Drosophila melanogaster: one gene and its partner. The protein of the gene in region 1 interacts with the protein of each later gene in a pairwise test. Each region holds a gene or a part of one and is shown on either strand. Other genes may lie near its edges. The genes, in order: SkpF and CG9316.

Region 1 (3,193 bases):
CCAGATCCCAGGCGGCCAGCATGGAGGTCAAGCAGATCAGCTTCGACAGCGATGGCGACTCCGATTCCGAGGCGGGACTGGACACCTCCGAGGTCACCATGGACGACGGCTATCCGCCGGATGCGCAAGTCGATGACAAGACCAAGCAGCTGGTCATTGGCGATGTGGAGGAGGATTCCGGCGACAACATGGAGTCCAACCAGTTTACCGCCGACGTGATTAACGCGCGGGACAGCAAGATCGATCTGGTGTCCAAGTTCCTGCAGTATATCGAGCAGCAGCATCTGATGGGCTCCAACTGCGTGGCTGGTACTTCGCTCAATCTGGGCGAGGGCGTGGTCGACCGGTATGCTCAGGACAGGTTCCGGGTGGAGGCCGAGGTGGCCGTCAATCGCGCCAATATGCTGACCAGGTGAGTGGATGTCACGGACAAAGTTTTCCGAGTTACTCAGCCCACATCATATTCACATGCCAAACTTTTCCAATCGAAAGTTTTCGGCCAGACGGTTGGCGAATGCAAGTGAAAATGGAAATGGAAATGGAATCCGTACTGAACAATTGCGGTCAAGAAAGTAGTGTGCTTTCCCTGAAGGTCATTCGAGGGTCAAGATACATATGAAGGATATTTATGTGATATTTTGTGAGCATAGGTAAGGATGTCGAGTTACATTCTAATCCGGAACAGGCATCAATCCTTCGAAAATGTTCACTTCGAATTTATATAATTTCGCCGTACTCTATCGCCTCGTCCTCCTGCGGGACTTCCGACTCCATCGTCATCAAATCCTCCTCGGAGGGCGAGAAATCGTTGGTTATGTGAAAGGTCTGGCGAATCTCCTCCGTCGTGCGGCCTTTAATCATGTTGGCCACCGTCATGCAGGCGGCGTTCAGCAGATTGGGAATGTCCAGGTAGTTGGCCGCCAAGATGAGTTCGAAGAGCGTGCCCTGATCCATGGACAGGAACTCGGCGTCCCAGGGGGTGATCTGCACAGCGACGGACTTGGCCGCTTCCTCTTCGTTCTCCTCTGCAATGTCCTCGCGATGATGCTTGGCCCAAATGAGGACCTTCTTCAGGATCGTCGAGTTCACATTGGGCAGCGGGATAAGAGTGTCGTTCTCCGCTTCCACTGGACAATCCTCCAATAGGGTCTTAATGGTGCTCGAGCACTTGGCAGTCTCGATGTCGGTCTCGAAAATTTCGCCATCGGAGGACTGCAATTTGATGACTGGCATGGTCCGTTTTCGCCCACAAAGGGTTTTCCTTTAAGGTTATCTGGTACAGTTCAACTTTTCAAGAAAATCTGTCAGTGCCAACTTGACAGTTAAAAATTAAACAGAACAGATTCGTAATGGAAACAAATTGGTGATTCATCAAATTCAAACAAATGTCCATGGAATGGAGATAGCATTTATTAACAATTTAGACAACATTTTTATTTCAATATAACGAGCAAAATCGATTAGATATTGGCAGAAATACACAATTTTAGTTTCATAACATATTTATTGTTGTATAAGTAATAGTTGATTGCCGCTTACAATGGTATTTACCATGTTCTACACAATGGACATTTCAATTGCAGCACAATTTATTGCTGTTTGTTATAACAGAAAAATATGAAATATTTAGGGCCCATTTCGAATACGGAAATAAAAACAAAACCAGGGATTTGGCCTCCATTTTCCCTTTTCAATTCACCATCGCTCATTGCTCGGGGTTCACTTTGCAGCAGATACTCGCCATTTTCTGCTCATCTAGATTGGCCCGTGTCCTTTGTCAACAAGGAGCATAATGTGCTTTTCTTGTTGCGGTGGCTCTCGTCGCTTGTTGGCCATAGTTGGCAGAACTACCATCGCTTTCCCTGCGATTTTCCTTCGATTTTTCCGTCCGCCTGGCTGCGTGCAATTTTTTGATAAAAGTTCAATTACTTAGCGTGGCAGGCGTGCCGAGCAAAAAGTTTGCACCATTCTTGTGGCCAAAACGGAAGGCCAGCTGGCGGAGGACATTGATTTACCTGGACAACCAAAGCGATGGCAATTCATTTGGTTTTTCTTGGAATTTCCAGCTGTCCAGGCTGGCCAAACGGAGCAAGCTGACCAATCTGATGTGTGTGCTCATTGTTTACTCGTGTCCATTCCGCTTCCATCATCGATTTGGCAGTGTATCGTGTATCAGGATAACCGCCCCAGTGACAATCCCAAGGACATGCCAGCCCAGCTCCCATGTTTTCTGAGCTCTTCTTTTCTTCGGCAGCTCTCTCTCTCTCTGTTCAGCAGCCAGGCACAATAAACACAAAGTTTCTTCAGATTTCGCATATCTGGGTATGAAGTCCGAGCACCAAAGTTACGGACTCCAAAGTCCTGTGTGTTCCAATGTCCAAAGTCCAAAGTCCAAGTGTACGAATGTCCTTGCCTGCATGCACGCATCGTATGTGTCAATGCCGATGGGGATGTGCTCCGTGCAGACATTAGACCTGGAATTTATGTCCTTCTGTTTTTCTTGAGTGTCTTTGTGGCAAATAGCAATAGAGAAATCAGCAAAAAAGCAAACTTTTTCTGAGCCAAAACGAGGGCAACGTGGGTGTGTGGCTGGCTTCGTGCAACAGGCCATTGGATATCGTCCAACCGTCGATGGTCACCAAATTCCGATGACATAATTTTCCAGCTTAGATGACAACTTTTTGTGCGCTGATTGAGCCAGGAAATCAAAGCCATTTGTTAACGAAAAACTCATTTGTTAAAAGCCGCACAGAAAGGACGACAGGACTACAAGCTGATGAATCCAAGGAACGATTGCCGCTTGTCAATAAAACGCACAAATAAACAATTAACCCAAACGACTAGCAGCTCGACAAATTAAGTGACAGAGGGGAAAGGTCGGTCGATAGCGAGGAAAGGCGGGAAAAGGAGAGAAAAATGGGAAATGCGGACAATGTCGTAACTTGGCCTGGGGAGCAATAAAATGTCAAAGACTCACTGTCAATAAATTAAATTGCAAACGGCCACGGATCTGGCACGGGATCAACATTATTGCATTTAGTGTCATATGCCAGGCATTTGTTTTCATTATTTGTTCAGCGGGGAATGTGGCCTCTGGGACTGAACTCCACTTCCTTGATTTATCCAGCTCGACATCCATAAATCCAATGGATTGCCCAGATACTGGTTCATAATTGCAGGAGGGATGGCGGCT
Region 2 (3,930 bases), on another chromosome or scaffold:
TGCAACAATTCATAGACATTTATTTTCTTACCATTTTCCATTCGAGTGGTGTCGTTTTAAATAAAATTAACCTTTAGACGATTCAAGGAATTCACGTAATCCGGATGCTGCAAAATATGAAAGTGTTAGTATATGCTTTCGAAACTCCCGCCCCGGTTTTCCCACCGTCAATATAGGCCGCCTGATCATGGTTCCCTTTACATTGAGCACCACATCACGACCTGATCCCTTCGAGCAGAATCCAATGGCCTGGATCACAAACTCCTCGGTGATCTGCTCGCAATCGGTCAAATCAATAACTTTCAACTGGGGACACTTCCGCAACATCCTCATCATCCCCACGTCCATCACCCGACCGCACGCGGTCAGACCAAATCGCTCCAGCTGGCTGAGATCGTTGAAGAACTTGAAGTGATCGTCGTCCAGGATATCGTTGTTGCTGAACCGCAGATCCGTGAGGCTACTCAACTGTCCCAGGCACCTGGCGTGCTCATTGGTGATATTGAACTGACCGGATAGGTGCAGATGGGTGAGCTTGTTTCCTCGTTTCTCTGCCAGAACCGTAAGGAACCCAATATTCAGCTCGTTGGAGGTCATCCAGGTTTTCAGTGTACAGCGCTCCAGCTTGGGCAGGTTGGCGATTACCTCGAAGTTGGTGTCGCAGCCGGAGAAGATCAGTTCCACCAAGTTCGTGCAGCTCTCGGCGATTTTCTGGTACAAGCTCACATTCATAACCTCGAAACAACAGTCGTCGAGATCCAAAGTGTGCAACGACTTAAGCGGAATTCCAAACTCCATCGAGTTCCATAGCAGACAGTCTCGAAGGACCAAAGTTTTGAGATTGGGAAAACCGCAGAGATTTTGGCCTGTTGCGAAAATAAAGTCCCGCAAACGCATAAATAGAGTGCAGTGCATACCTACCTGTATAGCAACCATTAACCAGTTCAAAAAACTCCAGCTCCTGGTTGGGCTGCATATCAAAGTTGAGCACATCCTCTGCATCCAAACACTCAATAGTCACCCGTTTCAAGTGCGTCATTTTGGACATAATCGATCGGTAGTGAAACTCATCGGTGGCGTTCGAGTAACTAATCTCCTCCAGATTGGGGCAGTATTCCTTTACGAACTCCACCAGCAGGGACTCCTTTTGGTAGGACGCACAGTCCACTTGAAGGACTCTGATGAAGGGTCCCGCCACCTTGAAGAACCTGATCAATTGCGGCAGAGGCACCGTCTCCAGACTAACCATGTCCAAAGCATTTCGTTGCACTCTCGCCCAGCCCTCGAAGGCCGCTCGGAACTTGGGCGCCACACAGGCCAGCAGAACCTTATCGGTAATCCTGGGCAGAAACTCGAGAACCAGTCGGATGATGTCCTCCGGCAGATCAAGCAGACTGGTCCTGCATAATGGCGATGGCGATGGCGATGGCTCACTTTTTTGGACTCCACCCGGGCGATTGGAGCGAACTGGGAATGGAGTCTTCACTGATCTCGAATGCGTTTTCGCCTTAGGCATTTTTTGGATTATTTGCTTGTACGTAAATTTAGATTAATTCATTTTTGACACTGCCCAGATGTTATGATAGGAAATAAGGGAAAATCAAGCTCGACCTTGTGTAACCGGGTAAATATTAGAGTCCTGATACCGTAATTCAAGATCCAAATCTAAATACTCCAGAGATCTATAGGGAAAAAGACTAGGACAAAGGACCATCTTAACGAATCTTTGGATTTGGAACTGCGTACTGAACTTAAGTAGCAATATTAAGAAACTACATTTTTGCTTGCAAGATCTCCTTGGTGTCAACATATTTGTGATCTGATCCAGCATTATGAATTCCCATGGGTCCAGGCACTTCCTACGGTTGACAGTGACCGCCAGCAGTTTACGGTCGACAGGTGGGGGCAATTTCGCGCATTCCTCTATTATTCACCGCATGAGCAAGTTTTCTTTTTGTTTGACAACAATTAATTGCATAATTGTCTGAATAAATGCATAAATCAATTACCGGTGATTGAGAAGTCGCCATACGATATACGCTACACGTACTTATTTATTTATTTATTTTTACCGGATATGTTTGAAGAATTAAGTTTCGGTTTTTGTTTACAAAGCTTTTGTAATTCACAAAAGCAAACAACTTAGGCATAATGGCAATGCCCTATAATTAATGGAAAAGTAATGGAAAAGGAAAAGAAAACTGGTATTTAAAGGAGGAAATTGTTATAGATTTAATTTTAAGCAGTTAAAGTATGCTGCTCTATTTGCTCATAGCAAATACTTCTAAAACACGGAATCAAAAGCGTTTACTTAGAGAACTATTATTTAAATTATAAATAAATTAGTAAGCAATTAAATAGTGCTGTTATATGTTAAGTAACTTGTTGAAACATTAATTTCGTTATTTTTCATACAATGACAATTGCTAACATTGTGCTGCAAAAATGGTAAGTTTTTATGATTAATTATATTTGTATGTTTGTTTTTAAAGAAGTCTCTGCCCATAGTTCTATATTTAAAAAGATATCCCTTAGCGTTAAGCAATAGATTAGTAAATAGTTTATATGCAATCATTTTAAACTTTAGCGAAAACAAAGAATAGCCTTGCAGTTTATCTAATTAATTTTAAGAAATCTCTTCTAGATGTGACAATACATTAGATTTGTCGCTACAAATCTTAGATCCAATGAGTCAACTGCATGGTGCCATCATGCGTCCTCTGGGTGTCCATGACGCTCATTTGGCGCACTAATCGCTTCATCGAGGGCCGATGAACAGGTCGCCCACTTCCACTGGCCGTTGTGTCCAGGGGCGTACGCTCGTCAATGCGGGGAGCCGGCTCCCGAACCCGTCGACTGTCCCGCAGCTCCAATTCCACCTCAGAAGCATTGGTGGAGGATCCAGCCAGGACATCCAGGTTCTCGTACGACGCAGGTTGAGATAAAATCTCTCTGCAAAAAGTAAGCACAATATATATTAAATTAGTTTTATACCCGCCTTGGTCACCACATGCACATTGAACTCACGGCTTTTGAGCGCATCTACAGCAATCTTTGAACTGCCAGTTCTTGCCAAACTCCTCGCCCTCCTCGATGGTCTGCGGCAAGCGATGATGCAGTGTTTCCGGCAGCCGCAATCCCGTCATGCCGCCCAGCATCGAAAGGAAGCCCATGATGACCAAGGGCAGTTTAAGATTGTCCTTTCCCAAGTAGGTAATAAAAGGTATGCCAATGAGACCCAATCCTCCAATATAACTGGAAGCACCAATGCCGATACCCCGAACCTGAGTGGGATAAAGTTCCCCGGCAAAGGGGTATATGATCAGGAAGGAGGCGGATAGCAAGGCTTTGGATACTAGATACAGCACAAGGGTCTCATCCACGGCATCATCGGGCAACATTACAGTGATCACACAGGCCACGCCACTGAAAAATGTTGGACTTCGAATTTTACACAAAAAACACAAGATGATGGGTCAAACACCTACCCCAATATCATTGATAAGCTCAATGGCCATCTTCTGCCCCAGGTATCCATGAAGTACCAGCAGCACAAATAGCTCGGCAGCTCCACAACAGCCGACAGAAAGAAGCTGACATACTGATTGGTGCCCAGCGCTGGTCCGTAATAACTGAGTCCCAGATAAACCGTCTCATTGGCAAACCAACTCAGCGTGATTAGGATGGTCTTTAAGCGCATATTGGGGGTGCGACAGAGATCTGCTAGCCCCACATTGGCCATCTTTTTCTTTTGCTTCTTGAGCTTATCCCGTCGTATCTGAGCCTCCAGCTTGAGATGCACAGCCTCGGGAAACTCTCTGCCATTGACCTTTGCCATGCGCTCCAGAATCTTGAGAGCCTCCTCCAGGCGACCGCGCATCAAAAGCCATCTCGGTGATTCCGGCATGACGAACATGTACAGGAAATAGG

The links.
Region 2: the proteins of SkpF (region 1) and CG9316 interact in a two-hybrid assay, tested with the Drosophila melanogaster proteins (one large-scale study listed by BioGRID).

Annotation. Positions count from the first base shown.
Region 1 is NT_033778.4:23,457,454-23,460,646, forward strand, and holds SkpF (SKP1-related F), read right to left. Parts: upstream 1,307-3,193; 5' UTR 1,234-1,306; coding exon 718-1,233; 3' UTR 612-717; downstream 1-611. Other genes in the region: CG43795 (uncharacterized protein), read left to right, coding at 1-412.
Region 2 is NT_033779.5:20,724,941-20,728,870, forward strand, and holds the start of CG9316 (uncharacterized protein), read right to left. Parts: upstream 1,612-3,930; 5' UTR 1,517-1,611; coding exon 922-1,516; intron 867-921; coding exon 166-866; intron 108-165; coding exon 57-107; 3' UTR 32-56; intron 1-31. Other genes in the region: CarT (carcinine transporter), read right to left, coding at 2,679-2,952, 3,028-3,426, 3,489-3,930.